Linked DNA regions of Pelodiscus sinensis. The protein of the gene in region 2 interacts with the protein of the main gene of each other region in a biochemical or structural test. Links are inferred from orthologs where the notes say so. Each region holds a gene or a part of one and is shown on either strand. Other genes may lie near its edges.

Region 1 (7,771 bases), on a different chromosome or scaffold from region 2:
AGAGTGTAAAGTCGTGTTAAGAATCGCCGGATAAGCTGTAAAATTGTGTCCTGTCCTCTATTTACAATCGAGTGTCCTATCGCCGCGGTAAACCTCTGTTTCCATTGCTTTCACGGCTGCTTGGTCTCCTTGTTTTTAGGAGCCGAGATCTACCAAGCTCGAGGTGAGGGGTCCTAGCAGGGAGTCCTGAAGGCTGTGGCTGGTCTGAGAGGCTGTTAAGCCGGTCAGGGAATAGTTGGAGCTCCTGGCGTGGCTAAGGTTTCCCTGTAATAGAAGGACTGAGTTCTGATCCGGACTTTGTGGGGGGGAGAATTCTTCTTCGGAGCTGGACATAAGCGGTTTGCCCCCATCCAGGGGAGAGAGCTGGTTGGGTTTGTTGGTGGATGTGTTGTTGTTTTCAGTGTTCTCCCTAAGAAAAAGAGAAAGCAGCGTGTTTGTTACAAAGTAGGAACAGCGTCGCAGTTAGTTCAGCAGCTTAAAGCGACGCTCAATTTGTATAATGCTCAAAAGAGGCATAAAACAAACAAACAAAAAACAACAACAGTGGCGTTTCTATGTTCTCCCTCACCAATGCCAGGAGGGAAGCTGGAGCAATTCCTTATCAATGTATCCGTTTTGAGCGCTCTCCCCACTACACTCGGGACAAGAGAGAAACTCAAGCAAGACCCACTCTCTTACGCGAACGCGTCTCATTCTGCGGGCTGCCTCGCAACAAATTTAGTTTTAACAAAACATTTGATTAGAAAAGAATAACCCTCCCCACAGCCAGTATTCAAAAGCACCCGGAAAAGTGTTTGCTATTTTAGCTACAGATCCATGGCTGGAGCTGCTGTATTCGGCCTATGTAAACAGCTGCACGGTTTCATGTAAGTGATGTGCATGGTAACTTGGGTGAGGACAGGGGCTTTTTTTACATTTAAAACCGCTCTTTCCGGGGGGGGGGGTCAAATATGTAGAGAGCCTTCTAAAACCGCTAGAGCTGAGATCTAACAAAGCAGGGAGGTAGCAGAGAGATTAGTGCGGGAGCAGGACGCGCACCGAGGCTGTGCCCCGAAGATCTGTCTCTTTCGGCTAAGGAGGAAGGGAGCCACAGGCCTGGTTTCCCAACTGGCTCCTTGCTGGGATTTAAATCCCGTTTGAACTACAGAGGTGGTTCCGAACCGGTTCACACAGCGGTTAGCGAACCCGCTTCCCTCCAGAGTAGGTCTACAAGCTCTGTTACCCCGGATCTGCGTGTGCGGTTGAAAGTGTCTCAGCCCTGACTCACTCCTGGTTAATTTCATAAGCGCGCGGCTGCAACCTCTCGGGTTTCTCTTTCTCTTCCGGACCCCGGCCACAGGACAGCCCTGCCAGACGGGAATACAACCCCAGCGCCCGAGAGGCCAGGAGCTGAATAAAAGGCAAAGAATGAAACGATCTCCCCTTAATGCCTCGCTCTCATTTACTTCCCTGTCCGATCTGCCTGCCACAAACTTCCCTGACTCCCTGGCGCTCAGGAGGGAAGGGATGAAAAACAAAAGGCAAGAATGGCCAAGGTGAACTCCACACAAGTCACTTAAAAGTTTAGTTAAGCCTTCGCGCTAGGCAGGTGGGGATGTAGTGTCCGGGTGCCAGGACGAAGAGCGATTTTTTTCAGAGGGTCTTTCAATGCCTTATAAATCGCCTTCTGCGCGAAAATAGCAAACCCGTTTTCCTCCAGCCTGTCATTTCGCCGGGGGGGGGGGGGGGATGAAATGCAGGTTTCGCTTTGAAAAAGTGACTCCAAAGAGAATGATCTGGCTAGTGGGTGCTCCCCCCCCAATGATCTGGCTGGTGCCCCCCCCCATCCGATTTTATTCTTCCCGGATCACTGCTCTCAATGCCAGAGGCACAGTATCCCCTGCCTGGCACCGTCTCCCCCTAAACCACCACCGGGCAGAACCCCAGCAACATAGGGATCACCTTTCCCTTTGGGGGCGCTTACTGGCCACGCTTTTCCATTTGTTATGTCTTCACCTTACCCAGCTGCACTTAAAAAAACCGCACACCCCCCTTCCGTACCTTGGGAGTTTTGCGGGGTGCAGTGCTACAAATCCTGATTTCGGCTATTCCCTGGCGCCCTAAGCAGGGCTGAAACAGACACAGATACCCCCATATTCCCCTCCCCAAATAACCCAAATTCTCCTTCCTTATCTAAAGCGTGAGCTTTCTGGCTGGCGCGCCCGGTGCAGATCCAGGCAGCCCCGACCAAGCGCAGGGCAGGAGGGGAAGGGAGGAAGAAACGGCAGGGCAAGTACCTTTCCTTCGCCTCGGCTGCTCGGTCCCGCTGCCTCCTGTTTTTAAACCAGTTGCTGACCTGGGTGGTAGTGAGGCCGGTGGCCTCGGCCAGCTCCCTTTTCTCGCGGGGCGAGGGGTAGGGGTTGTGCGCGTACCACTCCCGCAGCACGCCCCGGGACTTCTCCTTGAAGCAGTAGCTGGTCTCCTCGCCGTCCCAGATGGTGCGGGGCAGGGGGAATTTTCGGCGCACGCGGTACTTGCCCACGGCGCCCAGCGGCCGGCCCCGCAGCTTCTCGGCTTCCACGTAGTGCGCCTTGAGCCAGAGCTGCTGCAGCTTGGGGTGGTTGTGGGGCGAGAACTGGTGGCTCTCCAGGATCTTGTAGAGCTCGCGGAAGTTGCCCCGGTGGAAGGCCACCACCGCCTTGGCTTTCAGCACGCTCTCGTTCTTGTGCAGGTGGTCGCAGGCGGGCAGGGACCAGAGGAAGCGGCCCAGCCGCTCCAGGTTCCCCCCTTGCTGCAGCACCTCGCACACGCAGGCCACTTGCTCCTGCGTGAAGCCGAAGGACGGCAGCATGGACATGGCTGGGGCTCGGCGGCGCGGCCCTGCCGGGGCCAGGTGAGAAGCCGGCGCGAGGCCGGGCGCTCCCGGGGACTGGGCGAGGGAGGGGGGGAAGAGGGCAGAGAAGGCAGCGCGCGGAGCCCCGGCCTGGGCGCGAGCCGCGGGGGGGGCCGAGGGCGGGTGGGATGCTCGGATTGTTGCTGGGGGAAACTTTGCGGCTCGGCCACCGCCGCGAGGCTTAAAGCGCCCGAGCCGCCGGGCCGCGCTGATTGGACGCCCCCCGCGCCTATCGGAGGCTCCGCCAGGGGCGCGCGGCCTGCGAGGCAGCAGGGCAGCGCGGGGAGGCCCGGCCCGCCAGCCGAGTTGCTGCTGCTGCTGCTGCTGCTGGTTGGTGTCTGATGACTGAGTGGCTGAGCCTGTGTGTGAGAGCGGAGCAAGGGGGGCGGGGAGGGGGGAGCCGCTCCGTCCCGAGAGGGGAGACACGTCAGGGCCCTGCAATATGAGCCCCTTCTCAAGTGTCACCTAAAGGGAGCGGGGGCTCATCTCTGCACAAATCAATTATTACAGCCCTTAAGAAAGGTCCCCCTCCTCCCTCCCCCCGCCACCTCCTGGTCCCTTCCAGCCCTGCTCCTTCCCTGTGAGCTCATATTTAATTACCTTAATGTTGGGAATGAATAAATAACGGCTTGATGAATAGCTCATGCAGCATGATAAATAATAAAGGAGGGAGCCGTAACTTTGGGCTGGAGGACAGGAGGGCTAGGTGGTGGGGGTGGTTGTGTGAGGGTAGAGGGGGAGGCATGTCCAAGGGCCTCATTCAAAGTGTCTTCGCCATGAATTGCTGCTGAGGCACTGGCAAAACTGAAAGTGCTGCTTTTGGGGGGTGGGGAGAGGGATAAAGCGTTTAGACTGAAGTAGATCTGAATTCGAATTAGAGAAATCATCCCTCTAACAATTGTTTAGTTGAGGTGTGGACCCAGCTCCTAAGTACAAGATGATGTATAAGAAGTATAAGTAAACAGCGTCAGTGTTTGTTCTTGTGCCTTCCGGGTGGAGTGATGAACTTGGGTCGCAAATTTAGTAGAAATGAAAGGCGCTTCTGCACTGTTCGCCTTCTTTGTGTGTGCGCGCTGCAATATTTAGCAAAACTGAACGAACAAACGCCGCTTTAATAATCCTAATCCTCATTTGCACACCTTGTCTATAAGCAGGTATTATTTAAAAAAAAGATTTTGAAAACAATTAGCTTCCCTAAACAAAGATAATCTATTGTCAGTAGCAGGGGACGGGGTAAGCGATAAGAACAATAAGCAGAGATAAGGAAAGCAGAATGGTGGGAAGAGGGTGTCTTTATGACTGTATTTATCTTTGATTAGATAAGCTGAAAACAGAATTTTAAGTACACTTCAGAATTCTTTTGATTTAAGAATGAATTCACTTAGTGCTAATCACAGTCGCGATGCTCTTTAAAACCCCTTTGTCCTCACGAAATACAATTGGATTTTTTTTTACTTTAGACTATTAAAGTTAAGTGCGGAGGCTGACAGAAAAAAGCGTGTACTGGCATATCAGCTTTATTGTTTGTATACATTGATGCTCATAGTTCTGTTTTCCTTGACATTTGGAATGGTACATTTGTCTCTGATAAAGTGCCAGCAACAGCAACCTTCGTATTTTCCACAAACCGTTGATTCTGAGGTTTTATAGAGAAAAAATATATATAATCTAAAAGCACATAGTGAGATCTGCGCGCGCGAGTGTGAACGCAATATACTTGGCATTTCCGAAGTAAGCGTTCTCATCTACAGTGAAACAGGCTGAAAGCAGACGTTGATATTTATGTACGCCTAGATTATTTTTTAAATATATTTAATGGCTATTTGAGCTGTTTAAAGAAAGCCACTGCCCCCACAGTCTGTACAATGGCTTTACTTACTAAACTGGAGTCATGGCACTTCTATATACCATGACCATGTGTCTGGTAATTTTCCCTTGCCATTTTATTTTAGTACTTATGATGTTTCAGATGAAGTCTTAAAGAGCTGCAATGTCCTGCCAGAAGGAATGTCTCTACTTGGAACAGATCCTTATTGACAAGGCAGCTGTGTGGGGACCGGAACGGAGTCTTAAACCCAGCTCTAAAATCAACTAATACCCTAAAGTCTAGAGCAAGTGCGCAGAATTATAATATATGAGGTTGCAACTTTAAGTGATTGTCGCCTGGAATAGAAATTCCACGTCCAAATGCGAGTTTACTAAGTGATTTTTTGCTAATATTTTAAATAAGGAAATAAATAGTAATTTTCAAGGTGTTTTGAGCTGACAAATTGACCTAAAGGACTAATTCGTAAGCAGAAAGACAGATATTTATACCTGGTTTGTTGTGTATCTTTAAAAGTCCGGCCAAATAAACACTATTTTAGAATAAGCCAGTGGATGAAGTGAAATTGACAAGAACTTGACAAGAACTTGTGCATCGTCGGAACCCTTCCTTTCCTACTCCAAAATGGTTATTCTTCAGTGTAATCAGAAATCCAGTACCGAAGGGGCGTGTGCCTTGTTCACGCGGGTAGTATCTACTCCATCCTACATAAGAGAACCATTTATTATGAATGTTAATTATTGGCCCGAACTGGTTTTCCTAAAATGGAAAGCTTTCCCTGTAAACCACTGAAAGAGGTAAAATGACATGAATTTACAAACCACACTAACCGATTTCTCCTTTTAAAAGCACACAGACTGGGTTTTATTGTTCCAGCAAAATCATTTGATGTCAATAACCAAATAACAACAAAACCGATTGCAGGCTCCATAGATATTTTTCCCTCTGTAGAAAGAAAATAAGCACCATTTTAAATCTGAGTTCATTGCCCTGATTTTCTCTCGGAAAAAATGTAGGTAATGTTTATCAAAATATTTTGTTTAAAAATAATTGTAATGGATAGTTGAATATGCCTTTGACTACAGTATTTTTTCTTAAAAGCCTAGATATGTGATAAAGGGACATTTTCATAAGGCCTTAAATCAAATGTGCTTACAGATTTAATATAAAACAGGCCATTATTTTGTGCTCTTATATAATAAGATAGGGTATGCTTATAGCTATCCACCGGGCTAATCGAATATGTTTTAAAATTAAGAAGATCGAACGCAACTTTGCCAAGTGTATCAGCGTTTGGGGAAGAGTTTAGAAAACTTTTTTATTTATGGATTTGTTCAGACAATTTATTAGTGCAAAATTAAAATGACCGCGGATATGATGCACATCTGCGGTTGTGTTCTTCATCTGATGAGAAACCTCCCAGGTCAGTCCAGTCCCAACACCATAAAGATTAAAACAGTGACAACAAACAAGGGCGGCCGCAAAATTTGGAGGAGCCAGTCTACTAGTGAGAATAAAATATGCTCTTTAGAATGGGCGAACTGGAAGTGCAGTAACACAACGCGGGCGATTTCCGAACCTTGAGATGGGGAAATACAAAACCAGGCCATTAGCAAATGAGTTTTGTGTTGTAAAGGGTTGCTTTCCCATCCACTTGCTGTTCTGAAAAATAGATCACATTTCGTTATCTTTAGTGAGAATCTGCAACGTGATACCGGATCTCTGCAGCCCTCCTTCCCAGCTGCAAGGCACAGGGGAGACAGCCAGTTTCCTTGGCTTATTTCTAAACAATAAGGATTTGTATTTTCTTTATAAAAAAAAAAAAACCCAAAAAGGACAGAACTCTTTCCATATTATTTGCTGTTATCTATAGAAGCCTATGGCCCAAGATGCCTGGAAACCAATAGAACCTTTAATTACTTGTTCGTAATTGCCCCAAGACACCTGTAAAAACAAAGTTGGTGTCAGCAGGCATCTTGGGAGGGGCCAGGCAGGGAGGGAGCGTCTCCTTAAATCCGTCCGGTTTGTCTATCTCCTGAAAATATCGGCTCCCTTTTGTCCTGGATGGTTTCGTGGTATTAGAGCCCAAGCACAAGGAAAAACAATCAGGGGCAGTTTGGGGGAAGAAGGTTTGCAGGAGTTGGCAGGGTGGAAAGGGGGCAGTTTGGGATTCTCCTCCCTCGGAGGGGTGTGCAGATGTATGCTGCTGAATGACAACTGTGCCTCCCCTCCGGGTGCGGGGAGGAGGGGGGACTGGGTTGTTTTGTGGACAACAAAAACGAAGGGAACCATCATTCTGCTGGGCCCGCCTTGGTCCTGAATGCTTGGCTCCGAACTGCCCAGAGACTGAAAACGCAAAGTTTTGGGGAAGACGGAAACTTTCCCGGCTGGGAACTCCAAAGAACAGACCTGCCTAGCAGCTAAGGGATGTTAGACTGAACGAGGGGAGGGCCTATCTCAAGTGCCCCTACACCCTAAAAGCCAGCGTTGGACATGATTCACATAAGATAATAATGACATACAAAGGGCTCTTTCTTTGTATAGTTACCGGGGCATTTTTCAAAGGATTAGAGGTGATCACGCGTTTTCTTCTTTAGCCAGGCTGACAAAATGTGTATGTGTATTTCTTTACTTCCTCCCTTCGCCTTTTTTCCTCTTGAGTTCCCAGTCAAAGCCCCCCGCCCCCTTTTTTTTCTTTTGCACTAATGTACATCCTGGATGCTGGATCTGTCTAAGCTAAGAAGAATTTCCTTTTTGGAGGTGAAAGCCTCCAGCTCCTCCTGTTCCGAGGAAAGTGCTAGTGATGGTAATACAGGGTGACACTAAATAAACAGTTAAGTTGGGCTGGAAAGATGGAGTTAATTATCCAGTGAGCTGCATTTAAACCGAGACCATGAGGGGCTGATTTGTTTTGGCGCAGAGCGCTAAGAAGCAGGCGAGCCCTCGCTGTTTGTGCAGCGCTCTTTGCAACCCCTCGCTTGCTCTGCTTTTTGCATTCATCAGTATTGGGCGGCGGGGGGGGGGGGGGGGGCGGGGGAATTCCGTTTTAATTTAAAAAACGGAGATTTAAACAA
Region 2 (8,160 bases):
GACAAAGGTTGTGACATTTTTTAAACAATAGCGCATTTAGACCCTTTCAACCAAATTATGGTCTTATAATTAGCAAGTCATGGGGATCTAGTCTCACTGAAATATTTAAAAACAAAATGGTGGTGAGGGAATACAAATGATAATGTTTAATAGATAAATTTATAACCTGCTGTTGTTTATTTGAATAAATCTGTCACATGAACAATTTGATTTTAATTAATTTTATTATTTAAGATAAAATCATGAAGTACTCTTTTGAGAGGATTTTTCTGGCTTTTTTTGGATTTTGGAGAGTAGTTTGTTAAAAAACAATCATCAGGGTTATTGGCTGTAATACGCCTCTCCAAATGAATTTCAAATGTGATTTTTGAAAGATGATATTGGAACATATTCAATGCTACAAATACTTACAACTCTGTAGGACAACCATCTTGAAGTCTCTCATAATCACACTTACAATATTATGGGCCATCAATTGTTAAGCAGAAATGGAAATTATTTGTCTTTAAAAAGTGATGGTGCAAGATGGCCCAGAAAAAGAATCAGCCTGTCCTAGATTTTTAAATCTAACATCTTAGCGCCCTTTAAGCTGTTTTTACTTTGGAAACAAACAAACAGGTTAAATATCTGCTATCTTCTTGGGCTCAGCATGCAAGAACGTTCAAAAATGTCCAATACATATGAATTGCAGTGTCACATGAAAATAGAAGTCCTCGGTGTATTTGGAAACTATGAATGACAAAATACTCCATTAAAAGCATTCCAAAAGAGGAAAATTCTCAGTAAACCAACCAGCAAATTCTATTAAGTCTGAACAATTAAACCATTTTGTCCAGTTACATTAGGAGTGTTAAGGAATATGCATGTCTGATACTCTACCAAACAAAACAGTTTTTAATAAATTGGATGTAGACCAATAAAAGTTTAATTAACCATGTGTTTTAACAATTAAAAATTTCATCCAAGAGGAACATATTAAATCAATAGATTAGTAATTTGAAATACAGCGGCTGTATACCTGAAATAATTTCATTTAGCAGCATTCTCTGAATTCAACAAGCTGTGTTTAAGCGTATAAATCACACTAAAGGTTTTCCCCCTCTGTTCACTGAGAACAAAGATTTTGTATTACTTAATTTTATTTAAGTCTATAATTAAGTTACTTAGTTGTGGTTTGTAAATAAACTTGTTTTACACTAGTTAAATGCCTTGCATAGTGTTTCTTAAAAACGCCAGTTAACTAATTTAAACTAATTCCAGATATAAAACGTTAAATCTTATGCTCCAGTACTACATTTAAAAAGCCATTGCAGAATTGATGACAATGTTTTTGCAATACAGTTTTCTGACATTTTTTAGGTTACTTTTTTTTGGGCACGAAGGTATTCAGTACATCAAGCCTAAGCTAACATTTTACAACTTCACATTGCAGTAATTTCTAATTACTTTATTTTGATGTTCTTTTAATGGTCTTGTCTCTGTTCAAACTGCTTCCTAGCATGAGTGAAATGTCTCCAAAACAAAACAATGCATTATCTTGTGTTCTGTATTGCTGTAATAGGGAGCCTTAAATCTGAAATAAGTTATCACCCTACTTTAAATGTATGCCAATGAACCCAAAATAAGAATGCAATTACACTTACAGAATAAAAAATAGCCAGAGCATTTGCAGAGTGGAAGTATAAATAGAAGTACTTGCATCTTAAGCATTATTATGGACAAATAACTGGTACTTTAGAATGGAAATGAAAAACGTATCAAATTGCTCTTTAGTGAAGGAAAAATCTCTACTTTTGTATACTAAGTTTTACTGTCTGTCCACACACAGTCACACTCTTTTCCCACATGATTCAAAACTACTGATGCATAGGGTAAATCACACCATTATCGACTTATAGCAAACAAATATTCCACTCCAGCTCATCTGATGAAAGTGGGTTTTACCCACGAATGCTCATGGTCCTATACCTCTGTTAGTTTCTAAGGTGCCACAGGACTACTCATTGTTTTTAAAATTACCCCATGTGTTCACAGAAAACTGAGAAAGCAGAATCAATATTCACCTACCCACAATGGCATGAGGCTTAACATTAATTCAATACTCCGCTCTCCCGCTTCCAGCCCCATGAGCGAACTAGTGTCACCAAGGAAGATTTCACCCACAAAGAACTCCCTTCCTACTCTTATCAACACTATTTAACCCCCCTGCTCAGTCTCGTTCGACTCACCCTCCCTGCCTTTTGCAAACTGCTCCAAAACCATACGAGGACTGAGCAAACAAACAGCGTCATTTCCATGCTCATGAGTTTGATTTTCTGTTAACTGCTTAACCAGTGTAAAATGCCACCGATTCTCCTACCGGCTGCTGCCCCTCGCCGGGGTGGGCAAGGGCAGGGAGAAATACCGCAGCGACCCAGGCACGCCGCGGGCAAGTCTCTGCTTTTAGGAAGTGGAGGGAAGAATTTTTTCCAAGCGCGGCTCCTGCGAGGAGACAAGGAGCGTGTGCCACGACCATGCGGTCGAGTGTGACAGTTTCCTCTTCCTTCCCTGCGATGGGGCAGGTTGGGGGTATTGGTCTGGGGAGATGCACTGGCCGGGCTCCCCACGCCCCGCTCCCCAGCCCTAAGAAACAGAAGGCGGCAGCATGGGAAGGACCGGAGCTGGGTATTTCATCCCAGCGCCCAAACCCGGTGCGTAGTGCCCGCTGGGCACATGTCCCTTAGGCAGCAGCCTGGACAAGGGCGTGGGGAGCCGTGCCTAAAGCATCCCTGGCCTCTCCCCGCCCCGAGCAAGGGCCGGTGCCCAGAGCTCCCCAATGCCCCTCTCCGTTCCACCCCGGGGCCAGCGCACTGGCAGGGAAAGGGGGCGCACTCACCACCGGCTACGGACGGTGTTCGCCCCGGGGCTCTCAGCTTCCTGTCCCCGCAGCGCCCGCCAGGGGAGGGAGGCCGGGGCAGCTGCTGCGCGGCTGGGAACTCCAGAGCCGGTGTAAGAGCAGCCTCTGCCTGGTTTCCCAATGTGCCCTCCAAACTCCTGACACAGCCCCAGTGAGCATGTGCGGAGTGTGTGTGCACATGCCCGCTGGGAGAGTGACGCCTCTGCCCTTACCTTCTCCCCCGCCAGGAGTCCTCGAGCGACCCCGGAGCGCAGGGCTGCTGGGGAGACGGAAGGGCAGGTGTTAGACAGCGGTGTCACAGAACTAGCAGGGGATTGCAGCGCTCTGGTGCGCCTCTGCAGTACTGGAGCAAAGGATGCGGGGGGCAGGCGTGGTCCCTAGAGTGAAGTAAAAGTTGGAGCCAGACTTAATAACCAACACCCCCATAAAATCATGAGAGGGGTTGAAAAAAATCACCATAAAAACAATATTTGGGGATTTATTGTCGCTTGCCTGCTAGCTTGGAGCCTGTAGGGCGCACTTAGGCTTGAAAATGTGACCCTTCTCCTCCCACACGAGTGTTAGAAAAGAGAGAGAATTCGGAGAGAGAATTCTGAGCGCCTCAGGGAATCAATTGCTTGTATCCAAAAGCTAAGATCAGAGGTAAATCACCAAATATGACAACTTCTTGCCATAAAAAAAGCCACCAAAGTTGGCAGCACTCAAGAGCTGTTACCCCAATAATGATTTCATGGTGCCGTCAAGAAGTTTTCATAGGGTGAGATACACAGGGTTGTTCCATGTACATTGTGCAAATGTGTCTGCTAATATATAGAATATATTTTTACTCTTAATTGTCTTTCATATTACTCTGCATTCCTCTTAATTATCATTCTTGATTGTATTTATTTTGATTTTACTGACAATTGTTTAGCCTATTATTTCCCTCTTCTGAATTCATAATGCTTCTGCTGCTGTTGTCAAACTTGCCTCCTATTATAAAACGTTGTTTGGCTAAAGAAGGACCTTTACAAAATGTGACAAAACATAACAAAAACCAATATATGTTTTCCATCATTTAGAAATGCATAATAGTATAGCATGCTTTTGTTGGTTTTATTAAGATAAATAAGTAGCTATCAATTGATATAAATAGCCATTTAAATTGTCAACAAAAGAGATTGATGAGGTAACTGGTTTCAAAGTGGATGTCCAAATATCAAAACTTCTTCATAGAAGTTGGTTTCCACTACAGTAAAACAATTGTTTTTGTGGCAGTTTGCTCTTATACATGCTACTTCACTGACGTTATTTCAAAATAACATAGTCTGTGTCTACACTACAAGCAATTATTTCAACATAATATTGAAATAATGTCCAGCTGGAGGACTTCTTGCTCCAACTCCTGCAACTCTCATTTTACAAGGAGGATGAGAAGTTGGAGAAAGAGTGCTCTTCCTTAGACTTTCTGCTGCGTAGACAGCACCAAAAGCCTAAATAAGCTATTTCAACTTAAGCTACGCAATTGACATAGCTGAAGTTGCGTAGCTTATTTCGGCTTTAGCCCAGCTGTATTGACATGCTAGGGCCTGACCCTGAAAACACTTACATGAGTAACGTGATTCACCTGAGTTGTCCTACTGTGATCACGGATGTGCCAGCAACAGAGTTTTTCACAGTGCAGAAGATGTATGCACCACCCCAAGCAGCCCCTTCAGATAGGGAAAGCCTATAATTTCTTCTGTTAGGAGAGTCAACCCACCGCAATACAGGGTAGCTTGATACATGAGTCACACAAACAATTAGAAACACTCATACATGTCCCATATATACACAACAAAACCACGAGATAACACAGATGCATTCTGATCCTCTCAGTACATACACATTACTGATTTGTACTTATATGCGTGGGGAGACGTGCATAAGTACATACAGGGGCGGATGAGTTTTGCGAGGCTCAGGACACGGGGCCTATTGAAGCACAGGGCCTGGGGCAGCTGCCTCACTCGCCCTGCCCTATATCCGCCGCCGAGTACATACCATCTACCCCACATTCTCACACATACAGACAGTCTCTTCCACACATATTAATACACTCATGGATTTTACTCATTTGACAATGGAACAAAAACATCACTACTACTAGACAGCTGTTTTTACTAAAATCCTTTGGATCAGCCTGACTGCAAAGTATTCCGACATTTCAAAAGAAATCTAGAGTCCTGCATCAGTATGGAGCTAGAAGAGTTCCTAACATGAACTGCCTTCCATAGCCCCCAAAACCAAAACTCTTTCAGTTGTTACTCTCACTCTTCTCCATAAGTTCACAGAACTAACTCAAGGATTTGCTGCAGTTCTGAATTCATGTCACTCGTGTTAAATTAGCCTAAATCACTAGCCCGGATTATCCTTTCTCTGATTCTTTTCACCCGCCCAGAATTCTGACTCAATGACTGGTCCACAGGCTATCCAGAATTAACTATGTCTTTCAGGGTTAGTCTCTACAACACTTTCTCCTTCCTCCAATAACCTGATTGCCCTCTTAACTCGGCTATTTACCAAGTAGGTAAATATGGAATGGTACTTTAAAATGTCTTATATACAAAATTAACTCAGCTCCTCATTTAATTAAGTATGTTAGTGGCTGCACAATGTTATGCACATGATCAATCATATTGAACTCAGTGGCTATGTCTAGATTGGCAAGTTTTTCCGCAAAAGCAGCTGGAAAAACTTGCCAGCTGTCTACACTGTCCGCTTGAATTTCTGCAAGAACACTGACTTCCTACTGTCTGAAATCAGTGCTTCTTGTGGAAATACTATGCTGCTCCCATTCGGGCAAAAGTCCATTTTGCGCAAAGCTTTTGCGCAAAAGGGCCAGTGTAGACAGCTCAGATTTATTTTGAGCAAAAGCGAATCTAGATTGGCATGGACGCTTTTCCGCAAAAAATGCTTTTGCGGAAAAGCGTCCGTGCCAATCTAGACGCTCTTTTCCGCAAATGCTTTTAACGGAAAAGTTTTCCGTTAAAAGCATTTGTGGAAAATCATGCCAGTCTAGACGTAGCCAGTAAGTTTACTCATGTACTTAAAGCCAGGCACATGCCTAGCTTTATTATTATTATTTGTATTAGTGCCCAAGGACGCTCGGTCATACATCTGTTATGCTAGGTGCTGTACAAATTCAGAATAAAAAGGCAGTCCCTGCCCACCAAAGAGTTTACAGGCAAAGCAATTATTAATTGTGGTCTGAAACACTTGTTATGAGCGGATGGGCAAACAGCTCTATATAGTAGCATGTTGATTTATCTGAAGTACTTTAGTAATATGTTTAGTAGAGAAGTTTTGAAGGGGGGGAATTCATTTTCATAATTCAAAATATTTTGAGCCATTTTGATATATAGCTTTTTATATCACTTTTCATCTGGAGATCTTATAGCACTTAAGTCAGAAAAAAAAGTTTCATTATTTCCATTTTATGGCTGGAGAATCTGAGGCAAAAAGAGGTGAAATCATTTGTGATAGGTTACAGAACAAATCAGGATTAAAAATTGGGATTTCCTAACTCCCAGCCTTGTGCTTATTCCAATAGTGCATGCTGTCTCTGTGGATTAAATAACAAATGGATGTTGTGCAGACATATGTGAATTAATAACAGTTCAGAATCTATATGTCCAATTACTAGATAGCGTTTTTTATGTTCTTACAGCTGAGACAGTTGAAGGGCCATCTGGCTAATGCTCCCAGAAGGATGCTTTCCGTTAAAGGCATACAATTTTCTCCTCAGACACCTGAGAGAGAGAACTGTCTACTTTACCTTCATGTGGGAAAAGAATCAAGACCATAAGATCCTAAGCACAAGCAAAACTGTTCTCTACAACTAGGGCGTGAATGTAACAGTGACATGGACTCTGGTTAGTCATTCATAGATTTTACTATTTACTAGATTTGTTATTCAAAATGGATTAACGTTCTGCCTAACTCTGGGAAATATGGAACCGTACCTGCTGCTTTGTTTCACTGTTATAGCTATGTGTAGCTATGTAAAATTTCCAGAAACCACTTAATTCATTGCCCTGGGCCTTAGGATTCTTATGTATTTCCAGAAGGGTGGTGTCATTCGATTCAGAGCTGGTCCTGTGACTTCTAGACACTGAAAAGATAAAACTATTGCCCAAAAATGCAAGTGGAAGAGTGAAGTATATCCACGAGAGCTGAGCAGGATCCAGAATTTTCATCCCATGGGAAACTTGTATTTCTGAAAAGAAAAAAAAAAGAATTGGAATAAATCATAAGTGCAAAATTTCCCATGCAACAGCAATATCTGGGGGTGGGGGTAGGGAACAGATTCAGAAAACCTACAAGGGAATTTTTTAAATATTTTCTTCTGGCTCCCTGGCTGTCCTGCTGGCAAGCTAGTTGTACAGCCAGGAACACTGGATAGTTCACTCAGCTGCCAGGCAAGCATCCCAGGGAGCTGGCCAGCTGAGGGCCTAACTGCCCATAGAGTCTTAGGAACCCCACTTCTACGGCATTTTGTCATGTGGACTACTGAAGAGTTGGCAGCCCCAGATCCTCTGCAGCCTCCCAGGTCAAGCTGCTGGGGAGCTGGAGCAGAAAATTCAAGTTTTGTGCAAACTGTTTTTTCTGTCAGAAAATTATTCCAAGGGAACATTCCCCAACCAGCTCTAGTATTCACCCCAAGAGGCAAGGAATGAAAACTGTTACATCAGGGAAAACAAATGTTTCCCCAGTATATCAATCCAGGCGACAAAGGGGGAAAAGTTAAGCGTAACTTAGCAGCACTTTTTAGCTTCAATTATGACTTTAAACCAACTCCTGAAACCTACCTAGACATGTGGGAAGTTGCACGGATTCCAGTCGGGGTAGAGAAGTATGTGATAGGATATGATCCAGTATTGCCAATCCTAAGCATCCAATAATTATGAGCAAAACCCCAATCATTGGCTTAGAAATTATGAGATTTCAAAAATAAAAAGTTTAGAGTCCTTTTTGTCTTCTTGTATTTGAGTCTTTAGGGTTTTTTAAACTTTTTTTTGCAATGATGAAGGCCAACAACTTCCTCCTTCCTCATTCCCCATGAAAGATGTGATTATTAGCTAAAAATATGATTCTAGGAGTGAAGGGTATAAGAAAAACTCCAAATTACATGATACTTGGTATTAAATAGCAAGAGCTAGTGACACTATGGTCTCATAACAATTATCTCCTGGACTGCTGTAATATTTGTCTCCCCAGAACTAAATATTTGGAATGATTATTGT

Evidence for each region.
Region 1: the proteins of EYA2 (region 2) and SIX1 form a complex in vitro, tested with the Homo sapiens proteins (2 studies listed by IntAct, with this or other methods). The link is inferred for Pelodiscus sinensis from reciprocal best matches to the Homo sapiens genes EYA2 and SIX1.

Annotation. Positions count from the first base shown.
Region 1 is NC_134714.1:13,196,530-13,204,300, forward strand, and holds the start of SIX1 (homeobox protein SIX1), read right to left. Parts: upstream 3,206-7,771; 5' UTR 2,837-3,205; coding exon 2,277-2,836; intron 410-2,276; coding exon 136-409; 3' UTR 1-135. UniProt on the Homo sapiens protein: Transcription factor that is involved in the regulation of cell proliferation, apoptosis and embryonic development. Plays an important role in the development of several organs, including kidney, muscle and inner ear.
Region 2 is NC_134728.1:22,269,756-22,277,915, forward strand, and holds the start of EYA2 (protein phosphatase EYA2), read right to left. Parts: upstream 3,130-8,160; 5' UTR 3,109-3,129; intron 3,052-3,108; exon of another isoform or gene 2,876-3,051; intron 2,737-2,875; exon of another isoform or gene 2,360-2,736; intron 2,347-2,359; exon of another isoform or gene 2,068-2,346; intron 1-2,067. UniProt on the Homo sapiens protein: Functions both as protein phosphatase and as transcriptional coactivator for SIX1, and probably also for SIX2, SIX4 and SIX5.